Astyanax mexicanus: one gene and its partner. The protein of the gene in region 1 purifies or fractionates together with the protein of each later gene. This does not show direct contact. Links are inferred from orthologs where the notes say so. Each region holds a gene or a part of one and is shown on either strand. Other genes may lie near its edges. The genes, in order: gtse1 and acad11.

What was found.
Region 2: the proteins of gtse1 (region 1) and acad11 purify together in Homo sapiens (co-immunoprecipitation; 3 studies listed by BioGRID and IntAct, counting the BioPlex papers as one, with this or other methods). This does not show direct contact. The link is inferred for Astyanax mexicanus from reciprocal best matches to the Homo sapiens genes GTSE1 and ACAD11.

Annotation. Positions count from the first base shown.
Region 1 is NC_064417.1:36,524,117-36,532,848, reverse strand, and holds the start of gtse1 (G2 and S phase-expressed protein 1), read right to left. Parts: upstream 3,644-8,732; 5' UTR 3,488-3,643; coding exon 3,485-3,487; intron 3,155-3,484; coding exon 3,112-3,154; intron 2,934-3,111; coding exon 2,876-2,933; intron 2,336-2,875; coding exon 1,702-2,335; intron 1,573-1,701; coding exon 1,411-1,572; intron 1-1,410. Other genes in the region: atp2b1b (plasma membrane calcium-transporting ATPase 1b), read right to left, coding at 6,645-6,986, 7,635-7,820, 7,932-8,039, 8,149-8,360. UniProt on the Homo sapiens protein: May be involved in p53-induced cell cycle arrest in G2/M phase by interfering with microtubule rearrangements that are required to enter mitosis. Overexpression delays G2/M phase progression.
Region 2 is NC_064408.1:104,862,036-104,870,674, forward strand, and holds the start of acad11 (acyl-CoA dehydrogenase family member 11), read right to left. Parts: upstream 3,201-8,639; 5' UTR 3,036-3,200; coding exon 2,911-3,035; intron 2,822-2,910; coding exon 2,722-2,821; intron 875-2,721; coding exon 749-874; intron 1-748. UniProt on the Homo sapiens protein: Acyl-CoA dehydrogenase, that exhibits maximal activity towards saturated C22-CoA.

The DNA of each region.
Region 1 (8,732 bases):
TACACAAAAAAAAAAAACAATAAAAAAATGAAAATATTGATTTAGGCTTGAGGCAAGAAGATTGCAAACATAAACTGATTTTTTTTCAGAGACTATTTTAAATGAACTTTCTATTTGATCTATCTGATGTCATTACAGGAGAACTGCTATTTCTATACTGGACTGCAGTGGGGAGCATAACTATTTTTTACATCACTGCAGTAAATACAAACCACACTTTGTACTCTTGCCTAGAGTAAAAACACATACAAAAATCCTTTTAGGCAGTGTCCTACACAGTGGACTCCCACTTGAAACAGAATTATTACATAATTGTATGTATTACATAAAAGTAATTCAGTGTGTTTTCATTCTAGACAAAAATAATACTTGACGGAAATGAGAAAAGCTTAAAGTTATGACCAGAGTGAGACAGGCACAATAATCTTAGAAAATATGAAACTATTAAGATTGTTAAGACCTTTACACCATTCTCTAAATAGTCAAACACAGAAACTTTTTTTGGAAAAAGCATCCGTCCTATCCATGTGTTTATACATTTCCATGCATACTCTGAGAAAACTGAAAGAAACCAGAGTATAAGCATGTGCTGAAAAATCTGACTACTAAGCCAATTTTTCCTCATCATATTACTAGAGTTTAATCTGAACTGAAGAAATCAGTATGCCGTTTACATGACCACTTAAAGAATCTGATCATTTTAGAAATCTGATTAGATTAACCAGAAAAAAACAACAACATTGTAATATAGCCCTTTAAACTCCACACAATAATTAGGGTCCTCAGTGTGCCTGCTGCTGCCTGGCATTCTGACAGTACTACGTTAAAGCCATTAAAGTTAAAGTTCACAGAAAGCCAGAATGCTAGCAAAGTTACCTCAGCTAATACCATACAGCTCAGCTGTTTTAGCAGGTTTTAAGCAGCAATAAACTCACTGCTACAAACCATGATAAGTGATGCTAAATGTTTAATTTTATGTGACGTGTGAGCAGAGTGAAAAAAATGAACGAACCTGTTTTTTACTCCCTGCTGGCATTGTATATAGCAGTTTTTTTATAACCAGGGTTGTCAAATTACTCCAACTAGGTCACCCAAAACATGTTTTAAATATCTAGGCCTGCCACTACTACTTAAAAAAATCCAAGATGAAAATCTGGATGGGTTTAAATAGTAAATAAGAGTTATGTAGGCCTAAGTATTGATTGGATTATTATCCCTAGTTCTAACCACCACCACCACTATAAAGAAAATTGTTACAAAAGTTTTTCTACAATAAACCATTTTACATCAACCCACTCAGAATGAGGTTGTTAACATCTTAAATCAATGGACCATGTACAATTTTTGAAAAAAATAATTCTAAGCATTCTCAAATAACCTAATGAAAGTGCTTGGTGTTTGTTCTTTCACCTTCTTTGATGTTGGGAGGACCCTCTTTACTGGCAGACTTGTGTTGAAGGAAGAATCGCTCACATCAGATGCAACACTAGCTGTATCAGACAGAAGGTCTTCAGTAGAGCCTGCTCTGCTTGTGTTTCTACTGCCAGGACTTCGCTTCAGGCCAAACGAACTCTGAAACAGCACAGACCAAATAACACATCATGTGACAAAATGTTTATTTAAAGCCGTCCTGCATTCAGAAAGGCAGAAAAAAAAAAAGACCACAAAATATTTGCAAACATACAAGTTAAACCCCCTTACTTTGCTGGGTGCAGGGAGTCGAGTTTTGCTTGGGGCTGCTGGTCGAGTGCAAGAGGATAGTCTGGAGTTTACCACGGCCGTGGGTTTGCTGGGAAGTACCCTATTACTGGCCACTATACTTCTGCCACGGGAGGCCCCTTTAGGCTGTGTCTCAGTATGTCTTACAGGGCTGGAAGTGCTGAGACGTGGTTTGCCACCTGACATGACGCATACCTTCTGAAGCCGCTTCTGGATGGCTGGTGGAAGCTGCTTCATTGGGCTGTCCTGAACACAGAAGGTTTCCCTCTTAATTGGGCTAAGTGCATCAGCAGGCTTGCTGAACATGTCCAGTTTGGCTGAGGTGTCTGCTTCAAACCGTTCTTTGTTTTCAGGCAAACTGGAAGCAACAGTAATGTCTTTTGTTACTGGGTCCGTACTGCTTTCCTCAAGATGACTGGCTAGAAGATGAGCTTCTTTACGAATCTCCTCAAAGTTCTCCTCAAGCAAGGGGCTCCAGCTGGGTTCCTCACCCACAGAGGGCCCACTGCTTACACTGTCTTTCACTTTATTTGCCACAACATGTGAAACACATCTCTCCATATGACCAACTGGACCCAGAAAGACCTCATCTTCAACACAGTCTTCCTCTTTGGAACTGTATTTAAAAAAAAAGGGGGTATTAGTTCAGATTTCTTTGCACTGGGGATGGACAAAGAACTAGGGCTTGACAATTTACTGTAAACATACTCATTTAAATAAATACATTAGTTATGCACAGACATTTACTTCTTAAGTGTACAGCACAACTAGTTTTTGTTGTTACAAATAAACACTAAAAATGTTACATTATACTTTTTTTAAGGCATTTGATTACATTATATTGTGCTACACCATTTATATCAGGTTTTTGGACATATTGCCCAGCTCTCAAAATATTGGTATTGCAGACAATTGTTTTAAGCTCATTTCCTTATTCCCTTCCTTTCCGCCTCCATTTTAAATAAATGTTTTTGCCATGTACTTCTGTGTCCTCTGTTGCTTAATGTACATTATTTGTAAGTTGCTTTGGAAAAAAGCATCTGCCAAATGTAATGTAATATAAAGCTTGACAATATATCAATATTTTACAAGACCGTATGCATGGTCATTTAATGAAGTAGTGTGTAGTAAAACTATTTTTTTTTTATCAACAAACCTTTCTGGTGAAAAGGGAACATCAAAATCGAACTTCTCGTCAGCCAATGAGCAGAAATCTTCGGAAAGAAGCCAAAGAGCAAAGAAATGACAGTCAATTTAACTCGCATGTGAAGAGATGATTCCTACAGTCACATCGGTTTATCTATTTTGTCTCGTATGGAAAAACATACATATGCTAGTCTACCCTTCTACAATTTTTAGCAAGGTGACTATAAACATCTGAAAGTATATTACCATCATCAGCCATCATCCTCGGAAAACCAGATGGGTCAAAGTCCTGAAAATAAACAAGAGGTCCGTTCGCTAGTTAGAGAGTTTAGTTAGAGAGTTTAGCGATTATAAAACACATTTGATATGTTTGCGCTCATATCAGCTCGGTAAGCTCACTTGCTAGACAGTTAGCTTGGCTTAGCTTAGCGTAGCTTAAGTTAGCTAGCTGGAGCCAACAGATTGGCTGGTTATTGTCGCTACATTTAGCACAAAACAAGAGAGCTAACGCTAGTTTAGCTAAGCTAGCGGGCTAGCTAGTAGCTAACAGACCAAAACAGACAAGTAAATCTCGCTTTACTTCTACATCTTTTCCCTGAACGCTAAGCCGCACTCTTACCATCTGTTCTCTGAGTCTGTCACACTATATAACCGTGTTTTATTCAATTAAAGCCGCTCAGAAAATCGCAGCTCCTTCACCGTGAGCCCCAACAGCGTTTTACTGCTTTCAAATTTGGTGCGCAGCCTGATTTCAAACGTCAGGTGGCTGAAATGGCGAAAGCTCATTGGTGGAGAAAGTCGCGGAAGCGTCCGCTTTGTGGAAGGATTTAAATATATGTGATTCAGTCTTTCTAACAGAAAATCACAAACTTTAGTTCTCAAAATATAAGGACCATTTATTATAAACACACCCCCGTTAAACAGACGTCCAGGTTGCAAAAAATAATTTTAGGGAGGTAACGTTACCCCCGGACCTAGAACCCCCCAATCCCCCCAAAGAAAAAAAATATATAGAATACATGTTATTTTGCCGTGATCAATGGTATTTTCTGCAGTCAGAAGGACTATGTGATACAATTATGTGACAAATGTCTGGTACTAGTTAAAAATGATTGGCACAGTGTATCGTACTTCTTTGGTTATTACACACGTACTGTTTACTAACTGAAGCTTTTAAGTGTATAAGTAGCTCCAATGAAAACTAGAAAGTTTTTTTCCATGCTTTTCACAGTGGCCGTCAATATTTCTCACTGATGGGATTTATCATGACAGAGAGTTAGAAATCCCACTTAGGAATCTCTTCTGTATCTCCTTGTTTGGCCAAAAGAGGGCGCTCCCAAATGAGTCCCACAGTCCCGGTTTCATAGTTTTTAAACGTTTAATATTTTTTAGGACCCCAGGGTAAATTTAAAGCAATTAAAGGTCTCTCTCACATTGGATAATTTTAATTTTATGAGTCATAATGTATAACAATGTATGTTTTTACATTAGTGATTAGTAATTCACTTTTACACAATTTGTTAATAAATTAAGCACTAAGAAATCGGAGGAGCATGGGAGCTGAAAGAGCCAAAATAGAGAGAATAACGCCATAAAGGGACAGAATTCCCATCATCACTGCGAATCCTATTTGAATTTGAGGTAGGCCGTAATAATGGGCCCCAGTTTAACACATACAACACTATTTAGAGGTTAGAGAGACGGTAGTATGAGGAATGTTATTTGTAAACACGTGCTGTATAATTTCAGAATTTTATCACCATATATAATGCAGACTACTTCTAATCCTAAAAAACTTTATCAACCCCTGTTCAACCTAAGAACTGAACTCAATACTCACACCACAAATCTTTTTTAGTATTGGTTTCAGCTGATTCCCATGATTTTCATAACATGGTTAGCAGACAAAGTGATATGTTCATTTTATCATTGTTAAAACAGCACACACTGGTATCATCTGATGGCCAATTTAGTCATACATCACAAAACTTATATTATTTATTAGTAGTTTATTAAGTATAGCCCTCTTAATCCGTTCCTACAATTATTTTCATAGCCAGCTATCCCAGACAAAATAAGGCTTTATATGCATTAGATGTTTAAGATAAACTTAGTCACACTAACGAACAGGCAGTGTTTAATTTTAAAATAAAGTGTGTACCTACCCGATTCCAAAAAATTGCACAGTACAGTCTCTTAGAAACCAGTAATGTATATACATTGTGTAAGTATATAATCAATGAATGGTGTCTCATATTACTATTATTAAGATCATTTATATAATTTATCAATTTCCCTGCGTCCTTAAAATCAATTACAATAATCAGCACTGTAGTCATTTTAACTATTCATCTTTTATTGTCAAAAAACCATACACATTACTCACACTTTCAAATGGAAATTGAACCACAATCACTGTTTATACTGCTTATGATTTACAGACATTAAGTAATTACCAAATATAGAAAAAATAATAAATCCATAAACAGATGGATAAACATTCATCCCCAAAATAGGAATGAAGCTACAGTGAAACAAAAAGAAAGAACCAAAGAGCATTTCTTTCCTATTTGCCATCTCTAATAATTTAAATGTTAATGTGTAGCACAACCCAACATAACCTATGACCTATCTTCATGGTTAAATCCTCCACAGAAATCCACATCTTTAGATCCTAAGATCAACAATTACAGTTTTTGTGCTTCTCATTTTTATGGAGGTCATTTCACTGCCTCACCTCCACATGTTCTGTGTTATTCCCCAAGGGATTGTGGGATTAGATAGTAGAATTTGTTTACAGTGCCCTGGCTTTCAGGGGCAAACCCAGCAGCATGCTTGTAAAACAAAATAAAGCTATATTTTATGCAGCCTTGCTTGCAAAGCTATTAAGGACAACTTGAGGAGCATGCATGCTTTTGTTGATGAGTTTATCTGATGTCTTCAATAATTTAAAAAAATGAAATAAATGGAGATAACTCTGAAGCAATGAGTGATGCAATTGGTTGGGAAAAGTCAGGTGTTAAATTGTTAATACCACACACATTCTGCAGCCCCTTCACAATGGACTTATGTAAGATGCCAAGATGCTTAGAATCAGTTGAATCCAACCTGAAATCTTCAATAACCCACATATTTAAACAAAACTGAAATGGTAAACATATTTTGATATATTCTTTTCCCCATTTATTCTGCATACCACTAAACCAGACCACAATGCCTTAACATCATCTGTCTAAGTCCTAAACATAAACCTCACATAAAGATACAGCAGCAACTATGCATATGTCTTGTTCATTATTTGCACTTTGCCCCCCACACTCCCCCTCCCCCAAAGGTGGTATATTTTTGAAAAGCATGTAAACAAACAATTTTTATTACAATATAATCAGCCAAAACAACACACATCAGTGTTTCACTTGAAAGCACGTGGGTAAGGTTTCGTTCAAATTGAAAATTGAGAAAAAATTTCCATTCCTATCTTTTTTCTTTTAAGGACAATTTGTAAATGTATTAAAATATACATTTTCTTTCTAGCTTCCTCTCAGACTACTGTAGATCGCCTGGGAAGAAATCCTCAAATAAATCCTCAATCTATACCAACATTTCTCTGTAGGTTAGCTAACTTGTCCATCCAGCTACACCTGGACTGATGGAAAACTGTCCATTTCATTACCAGAACATTTAATGACCTCCTAAGCATGCTCTTTGCAAGGGTTGTGATGTGCTCTTGGCATGGGTAGTACAGACATGGTCTTAGCAAGGTTTTAGCTTGGATGGAATCAGAGAGATGTCTCCAGGCTGTGCAGGGGGCTACCAGGGGGCTGAGGAATGGCAGTCTTGATTATGTCCTTATGGCGGTGAAAGCTTCTGCTGTCTGTAGCATTGTTGTTCTGGTTAGGAGAAGATACGATCGGAGAAAGGGGCGGGGGCGGTGCAGAATTACGTTTTGTAGGCGCTTCCTCTTCTGGGTCAGTCTCATCAATCAGAGGGATGGCTGGCTCAGAGTCTTCGATGCGGAACTCTGGGTGACTCATGAAGTTGTGAATAGAGCTGCGTGACTCTGGGGTCTCCAGGCCTTCATATGGAGACATGGCTTCCCGAAAAGCATTTACCACACGGATCTGTCAGGGAAGTTTAGAAAAGGAAAAAAAAAATTAAAATTAAGCTGTAGTTTAGGAATCAACCTAATGTGACGTAAAAAGTAACAGGGACTTGTATGTAAACATACAACAACTGTAAAACATAATTAAGATCACCTTCTGAGTAAAGTAATATGGCATGTTATAAAGCAAACAATTAATCTCTACATGCATACGGAAAATGGTGATATACAATTTGATGAACATTTATAACAATGTATATATAAAAATAATATGTATTCATAGCAAACAAAACACAGCATGCTTTGTATTTAAATAGTATATATCTAACCATGTATCTTTGCAATAAAACAACTTCATATGTGGTAAAATTTGACTGATTTAGCAAAATGCACTGGATCATGTTGTTGAAGATGGAGAAATGAAGATGTCATTCCTTTATGTCATTCCATGCTGCTTCCTTTAATTGTGATGTTTCTATGTCTTTTTTTTTTAACAAAAAACAGTACAGTACAGTACTATACTAAAGAAAAACATTTTTACATAGAAAACTCATGCACATTCTTTTCTGAAATTATATTCCAGAGAGATAGTAACCTGCTTAGCTATATTACAATTTGATATTTTTGTATACGTTTATCGTTTAAAAAAGGAACAGCTGTAGTCTACCTGTGTCTGGATTCTTTGGAGTCCTCTGCACCACAGGACCTGCCCTCTTCTCAGTTCCATCTCAGCATGGTCAATTTCATCCATGTCCATCTCTTCCAGTTCGTCCTCTGGGATCTCCTCTTTCTGGGTGCCATGCCCAGCAGTCATCAAGAACTTTAGCCGACTTGTGGGAATGGTGGTGATCAACTGCAAATCAAATGCATGAAATAATTATTTGACACTATAAAACACTGCACTGTTTTTCCATAGAAAACCCAAGAAAACAACAGAACCAAGATGATATGACTTCAGACGCACCTGACCCCAGAGCAGACATCCAAAGCCAAGGAAGACACACCAGAGCCACTGTTCAATACTGAGGCCTACACAGCTAAAGGGCTTCCCTCCAAACTGCACAATCACAATCTGTAAATGAAATCATTGCAATATTATGTATACATTTCAAAATATTGGTTTTGTACCATGAGTTATGTTGAACACACTTTTTTGCTGTTAGATTGCTGTCTAGCTTTACCTGAATAAGAAATGTGCCAAACACAATGGAACAGAAGATGAGGTTGTTAAAGATGCCATCAAAGACATTTCTCTCGCCATGAATTTTGCGAGCATTGATTTCATTGAAGAGCTGCATCATGACGAAGGTGTTGAAAACGATGGTGTAGTGTTCTGAAGGAGGCGCATGTAAAGGAGCATTCCTGCCACTGTCAATATCAAAGATTTGCTCACCTGTTTGGAGAAGAATTAAGTGAATAACTTAAGAAAACAACATATATGTGGATTTATTTTAATCTAAGTACAAGAATAAATTAAAACTTGCATTTGGCATCTATTTTATATAGTATCTTCAAGGAATATGTTTAAAGGGCTTTAATATTTTACAGTTTCTGCACATGTAAATCACAAGTAATTTTGCACACTTAGATACATGATTGGGCAGTTGACAGTGCTGTGTATCTAAAACACAATTATATCTAGGAAAGCAAAATCTTGTAACTAATATTTATTACTGTTGTAACATTTTGTTTATTTCATGATCACATTTCATTTTAAAGGCATAACAAAAAGTTGGTTTAAAACATATTACTTCTTTTTATTTAT
Region 2 (8,639 bases), on another chromosome or scaffold:
AGAAGTGACAGAAATACTTTTATTAAATTTATTTCCTAAGAATTGTTAGGGGTGCCAATAATTGTGGAACAGGTGATTTGATGAAGAATAATTATTTCTTAGTCAGGGATTTTATTTCCCCCTTAAAATTTACTTGAGTTAAAGGTTGGACTTTACTCTTTTTTTCCATCGTGGTCCTATATTATTTTGAACAAAACTCAATTTATGAGAAGCTAAAGAACACATCTTAACCAGGGGTGCCAATAATTATGGAGGGCACTGTATGTGCTACTGTCTTTTCCAAATTCTTTGTAATTTGTAGGTGAATAAAGATGCATTAAACTATAAAGAAAAAGACATACAGTATTTACAGCACCTCTTACTGATTGATGTTTAAAACAGAGAGTTTTTTTTTAGGTCAGTTCAATTAATTAAGTAATAAATAAATAATAAATCAATCAATCCACTGATTGGCTACTCATCTAAAATTAATTTGAATTGTACAGTTAAAATACAGTTCGCAAAAAAGTGACTAATGTGATTAATTTATTTTCATTTAATGTTCAATGCCTGCTGCATTTCTTTGCTGCATACAAAGGACTTTTAACTTTAAAACAGCCTTCAATGAAATGCAGCCGAGAAATGCAGTCCACGTTTTGGAATGCAGCTCACGCAGCTGTGCATGTAAGCATGCCATGTCATACCAGGACTTAACAGTCCTGATGTCAGCATGGTTCTTAAAGATGATGCTAAAGCCTGCAGGTCTGACCTGTACATGCTCCATGATGTAGAAGTCAGTGCCGATGACATCTGTGTCTGAACAGTACAGCAGAGGCTGAGGAACAGGAAAGCCGGCAGAGTGCAGAGCCTTCTGTACAGCATACTCTCTGTCCACCTGTCCACAAAAACACACACAGTTTAAAACATTCACCATTTATCCTAAACACTATACTTGAAACATTTTTTAAGAATTTATTTCTGAATTTGTCAGGACTTTAGGATCAATAGTGATATAATGAGATTAAACAAATATATAGTATATTTGTATTGTATACATTGTGAATCATGTGGTCTCCCATCACAAGTTTATGTCTAATGCAGAATATAATGTTTTAGATTTCAAGCACAAAACTGAGAACTTTGCGTTAAAGGGTTAACAGCATATTTGCAGTATGTGCACCTCTTTGTCATATACTGATGGTTGTTATTGTTCTGACCGTTTAGTATTAAATTCAACAACAGAAAACTGTAATCTTGGAATAAAATCATAATTTTAGTGAAGATATGAGTTGTCATGTATTTCACTCTACAATCTCTATTTTTCATCATGTAACAAAAACAGGTAAATATTATTTTTTTATACATATCTACCTAGGCCGATATATATATATATTTTTTAAATGTCCCAACTGGCTTCTTTAATATATTTGCATTGTACTAAAATGCATTAATTTTAAATTGCTATAAATCCAGCTGAAACAGGGAGCCTGGTTTTTCAACATTAACATTTTAGGCCGATATCTGATATAACATTCGTAACTTACAGCGAGATTAGACACCTTGGTATAACTTTAGACACAAAAGTAATATTTATTTGCCTTACATTTTAGCTTTCAACCAATGTATTGTATGCAAACACAAAATGAAAGGAATCTCTTGAGAAATTTGTTTTAACATTTATTGGTTTTTAACATTTATTTAGATAACTGGTCCTTATGCAGACTTCTCACAGCTTTAACCCTCTTTTAAAAATGTAACAGATTAAATAAAAAAAAAATAGGTTTATTGAAACTAAAACAAATAAATAAAAATTTGCTTAAATCAATGGAATTCAAAGTAGCATGGCCAGTGTCTAGTAATTGTAGTCATTTTCTAGCATGCATTATATTTATAATGTATTGTTTGAAATATCGTCTAAATCGGCCGATGTGATGATTAAAAAAAACATCCTCTAGCATTCCTAATTTTTTTTTTACATTTTTGCTGACTCCACTCTCAGCTCAAAATTGAAAAATATGAAACAAATGTGATGGGTAGTTTGGGAGGGGCACTGGGTGATGTATGGGTTTAGGGGTGGGGTTGAAGGGAGAGCTGATTGGGCTGAGCAGTGTGCCTCTCTTAGCAGCGAGATGCAGATGGTTGGAATTCACCAGGGGGCAGTATTACTGATTGATTGATTGATTGATTGACTTATTTGCCTATTGTGAGTGTCCGCATACCAAAGTACACGGAAACATCATCTTCACCTATAGCACGGTTAAACCTGCAATGGTAAAATGACCGCAATAAAACCGCGTTTTTTAAAGGTTGGAAACTGTTTTTACAACTTTTAAGCAGGACTGTGTTGTTTTATTACTTCAGAGGAACACATTTCAGCTATTAATACAATATATAAATTAGTGCCTCTTTAAAAGGGAAGAAAATTGAACTGATGTCAGCACACCAGTGTACTTCAAACAATGGAATTCATTCACAAAATTCAGTAAATTCATATTCTTGTCTTTGAAGGTGGCACCATCTAGTGGCGCTTTATAGCTGACCTTTCACATACATAAGTTATATCTGACAACTTTGCAGCTGTGTATCAAAGTCCAAACAACAACAAACAAAGTGTGAACTTCGAGTTGAAGATTTCTGAATGCTGCAGCACTTTAGAAAGCTTTGGCTTTGTGATATACATGATGTAAATGTAAGCTGATGATGAAGAGCATCAGCTGAAGCCTGAGGAAAACAGGGGCTAACCTTATGTGCACCAGGCAGTAAAGGGCCAGGGGGCTTCTTCCTGAGCACATAGGACCTGTCAGGAGTCTGGATGAAGAAGGTGGGGTTGGACTGTCCAGAACTGCAGAAAAAATGAAAAACAGTGAATAAACAGATGCAGTGAAAGCTGTGACAGTGAAGCAGCTCATGCATATTAATGAAGCTCTTTACCTGTACTGGCGCACAGACACTGCAGTGTTCTCAGAAACGCCGCGTAATCGACCTATCAGGTGCTTCTGCAGCTTCTTCACGTTAAACAGGTGCTGCTGCCGCACTGGGGTTGTCTCCTCTTCCATAGTTGCGATAAATCACACGAGAAGCAAGAATCAAAGCTTAATGCTGGAGTTTCTGCGAGACTTTTCTACCGTTTCAAAATAAAAGTCCCCCCAGCACTCTGCTTTCTAATAGTGTCCCAACAGTAGAGGTCTTCAGGTTATCTCGACCTTATATCCAGCTCCTGATCATGAACTTTAACCTGATCCTGTGTAGGTGTGACCAGACCTGAGACACTACATGATCAAACAATTACATCAGCTCTTACCCTAATGAACTTACCAATTATTACACAATACAGCACTGGAAACTGGATTAAAGGTCAAGATTGGTGAGCTAAGCCCTAAAATGCTGTAACGTTAATATAAAACATGACTTTTAACTTAAATAGACTATTAACTTAAATAAATAAGTGTTCTACATGATTCCTTATGTGCTTATTCATAGTCTGGATTACTTCAATATTCATTTACAATACAGGGAAAAAATAAAGAAATAAATAAAAACATTGAAACATTGAAAAATAACCGCTGAGTCCACCCATCAGCTCAAATAATAATAAAATAATAATCAGAGGCGTAGCTTGGGAGGGGCATTGGCTGATGTATGGGTTTAGGGGTGGGGTGGAAGGGAAAGCTGATTGGGCTGAGCAGTGTGCCTCTGCTAGTGGTGTGACGCAGGTAGTTGAACATCACCAAGGGAACTGTACTATTGATTAATTGATTGATTTGCATTTTGTGACATGTCTGCATACCAAAGTACATGGGCACTGCAGAGGCAGAACTGACCACAATAAAAGCGTTTATTTTTTTAAAGGTTAGGAAAGGTCTATGCAAATTTTAAGCAGGTCTAATATGGTTCATTACTTCAGAGAAACACGTTTCAGTTATTAGTGGAACAATATGGTTTTGGGTTTAGTGGCTCTTTAATTAAATTAAAACTCCCCTCGAAAAATAAACATTCTCTTGATTTACACTCCATAACTTAAAGGAAAAATCCATTGTTAAATAGACCTGGGATGTGAGACATGATAACAAGTACAAACTTTGCAGATGGGAGTTTAGGGCCTTTCGTTTCGCACAGGATTAGTTTCTCAGGGGGAGAAAGTAAAGTGACTGGTTCAGAGAAACAACCAATCAAATTAAAGAAAAGGCGTGGCAAAAAAGCAGATCTGCTAAATGAGAAAAAGAGCGGGAAGTTGGATCCAGCCATCTTGGAGGAGCAAATATTTATAAATAAAATTTTTAATTTAGTGAACAAAAACTTTTTAAGTTAGCTTGAGACAATAATGCACATGTATAGGCTAATTGGCTAACAAGACTAGATACTTAGCTACCTAACCCCTAGCTACAATAGTTTACAGTATTTTTGATAGTCAGCTAGCCAAGAAAACAAACAAAAAATAAAAAGACGTAAGATTGTAACATTTATTTTTATTTTAAAGGGTTTATTTGGTGAACAGATACGCTTTATTAAATTAACTGGAGACAGCAGTGTGTATTATCAGGCTAATTAGCTAGATAGCTCACCTAGATAGCTCTCAAGTTTAGACACTTAAATAGTAGTAGTTTTGATAAAGTCAGCTAGATATTTGTCAGCTATTAATTAAAATTCACAGTCTGATATAACCTATAATGATATGAAATAAGGGTTGTAAATTGCAGAGTGCTTGTTAATGTTAGTGAGATAATGTAACATGTGGACATGTATTTGTGTATTAAACCATACCTTCACACCTTGAGAATGTACAAGTTTTATACTGCTCTACAGGAACTATAGATATGTGCTTTGTCATGCTATGTTATCAGCCACTGTACTGTATAGTTTCTGCTGCCTATGGGGCACACAAATTGATCTATAGACATGAAAGACTATAACAGTGGTTTTCAACCTGTGGGATTTTTACTTTGCAAAAAAAAAAAAAATCTCATTTTGGCCTACGGCCCCCTTGCAATACCTCTGCAGCTCACTGGGGGGGCCGCAGGCCAAAATGAGATTTTTTTTTTTTTTTGCAAAGTAAAAATGATTTACAATATATAGATTGTTCAGCAAATGTAATTTAAGTGAAGATAATTAATAAGATGATAAATTCATTTATTTTCAAAATAAAACTTTAACGAGCTAGTTGATTGGTTTGGTGTAGTACAGTCAGAGCTAGTAGATCAACACGCTAGTTGTGTTATTTATGAGCATATAAACACATCAAACAGTGAGAGCATGCTCAGCGAGGTTAAAACAGGATGCCGACCTGACGCACCCGTTGAATTTTTAAATATGACATAGGTGTACTGTATACAGAGTACCGCTGCCCGCAGGGCAGGGCGAGCGTTAAATCATCCTGCTTAATATTAATGTTGCATTTTGGGTAAGAAGGATTAAACCATATTCACATAGGTTCCTTCAATTGAGCAATATTCTACTTGAATAGAATTGAACTATGGCCATATCTATCAATAATATATTTCATGTCATCCAAGAAGTAGTTGTTTTTGAAGGGCAATGGGACTCCATACAGTCTTACAACAAGAAATTGGAAGATGAAACTCAGAGCTACTTTAAATCTCCTGTATGTACTAATAAGAACTACTATTAATACGCATTTGAGAGGTCAACAAAACAACTGGCAATAGCAAAGAAAAACAAACCAGGGCCAACTCTTGTAGGGCCTATGTGTCTTCCAGGATAATAAGAGATGTTGGGTTTACAGGTGCTGTTGTGAACAAAATGCTGAAACACCATGGACATGATGTTGACATTCAAAAAGAAGGTGTAAAAAACCCTGTGAGCAACTAGGTTTCATTGACATGTGGCTTGAGCAAGGACTGTGATTTTCCAAAATACTTCTAAAAAGTGTTGTTTATGCAGAACGTCATGGACATGTAGACAAACATAATTGTTGATACTATGTAACACCAGAATATATAAAAACAATCAAAAAGAGCATCAAAAAGGGGCGTACTTTCCTTATAGGTCTGTAATACTGGAGACACAGTTACAACACTGTCCACAAGGTGGAACTGTTGTACATCAAATCATCACACCGTCAAACCAAAACACTCCCAAATATGATCCATTCGATATCTTGTTTTGATTGAATTATGTGTAAAACAGAAAATGAACAGTAATCTAATTCAGTGGAATCTACAAAACACTGAGCAGTAACAGCTAATAGTGAACACTGTAGACAAATGTTGTACAAAAAAGCTTTAATGGCGCATTATTCAAAAGTATTATTAAAGACATGTTTAATAAGCATTAATACAATTAGTTCTGAGCAGACTGCAATCATTTCAGACATCTGCTCCAACAACAATAAAACACAACACTGTTTCACTCAGTTCCTAACTGCATAGGGCCTGCAAACAGTTCATGCAGTACAGAAATTCTTCTAATGGAAAAAAGTTCATTTATAATTGTGCTTAGAAAAATAAATATCCTATGTCATGTTAAATAAAACTGGAAAAAACAAGCCCATAAAAACACTGTTTATGTGCATTGTCCAAAAAAAGCTTTGGTCTTCTTTTAATACTTTAAAATTAAATAGGAATTCTAATGATTTGTCCAAATTATTCACACAATTGAAGTACACCAAGTTGTTGTGAGCTGTTTGAGGTGAAAGTGATTGAGGTGGTGTTCTAGAGAGGTGGTGATGGTAAACAGATGGTTAAGAACATCCATGTAAACACTACTACACAAAATGGTTAAACTCCTTAATGTCTGACACATTGCCTTATAACAAATTTGACAGTTTAAAGATTTTGGCCATGTATAAAATTTCTAAATATGTTACTGGCAGGGCATTACAGTATTTTTTTAGGTCTGCCATCATTTTACAATTACATACAAAATATATAACCAATAAAACTGCATGGATACACTTGTGGATGAGTATCTGTGTTGTAAACACCATGGACTCAAGTTCTAAAGACATCAGGGTCAGTAAATGTTTCTACAATAAATAATTTCATGCCAAACTGCTCTGACAGACTCCGTTCACATTTTAGCAAATGTGACCGCAGTCATCGGAAAAAGAGACAGCTGGTAGCAAATAGGCAACAGTTTAATACAGACTTCGTTCAAATGTCTCAAAAGTCTCTATACGGTATTTAAATACATAAAGTGTCCAACTTTGGCTCAAGTGCTATTATATTCTATTGTGACCAAAGATGTTACAGAAATGTGCTCTTACTATCTCTATTTCAGCTCATCACTCAGTTTACACACATGTAGTTTTTTAATGCTCACACATTCCCGCAAACTGCAGTGTCAGCTGTGCTCAGGCAAAAAAAGAGAAAGCACAGTTGTTTATGGGTCTTGGAACAGGACCCTGGAGTCACATTGGAATGTTTGGTTCCTGTAAAGGCATTATCAGTCGATGTCTGAATCTGCTGGGATCATGAATAATAAAGTTGTAGAAATAAAAGCCCCTTCTAAATGATCCAGCATCTACTGGCTCCCCTTGTAGATCCTTTTCATTCACTTAAAAGGGGGAACAAGGTCATTTTTGCCATTGCAAAGAAGTTTCACAAATATTACCCACCCTGTTTATTCATGTAAAAACTCGGGTCCTGTCCTATTCTTCAGTATGCACTGTGCTCGGGGAGACAGGGTAGAGAATAGGCAGAAAAACAGTTTCTCAGCATGACTGTGAAAGAGCGGAACTTTCTCACGGGCGGCAGAGTGAGCATGACTGCATTACAAAGTAGACTGGAAGCAGAATGGGGGAGTGTGTGTGTGTGTGCCTGCGTGCGTGTGTGTGTGTGTTGGGGGAAATATCTAGGCCCCTACCATTCATGAGGGCAAAACTCTGCTACTCGCTTAATGGCAATCACTACTCACAGTATCTGACTGTATGGCTTTTCATCTTGGCCCAAAAACACTCAAATCAGAACCCAGATCAGAACCCAAAAATCACTAAGGCATTTTTAGCTATGTCTTTAGCTAAATCTAGGTCTGAACGGCTTGGCTCTTATTTGGATCGAGTGTTGCATGTGCCAACATCCCTATTTGCCAAATACAACAAACGACCCAAGCTGTATAATATGGACAATATGGATATGGATAATATGGAGTATAATATGGAAAATGGGCCACATCACTGGCTGTTGAGTATAAACCACATTCAACCCAATTCCAAATGCCTGATTTTGAGTCTCAGCCAATGCTGCTATACAATAGCAGAGCTTGGGCCAATCCTTCATGCTATCTGAAAATAATGATACTCATCTGTCAAGAAAACCACAAAAAGAATAGTAAGGATTGGATGATTGGATGGATGATTACACTACAGTTGAAAAGACTGGAATCACTGTTATATTTTGCTATTTAAAATCACTTAATGCACTTAAAATCAAAGTTGTTCTTATTCTAATTTCGTCAGTTCCAGCTAGTGTATAAGCTCACACTCTAAGACAAGATTCTCTTGAACTGAAATAATTTTCTTGGGGCCTAAACCATAATGTTGTTTTTTTTTTACGTAAACAACAAACAGCCAGACATAACACCTCAGAATAATTATTCTAGACAAAATCCATGTTAAAATCAATGGAGATTGGAATAGGGCCTTCCAGAAGATTTCCATCCAGCTTGTGTGCTTGAACAGTCAATCCTAAACCATTTTGTGGTCA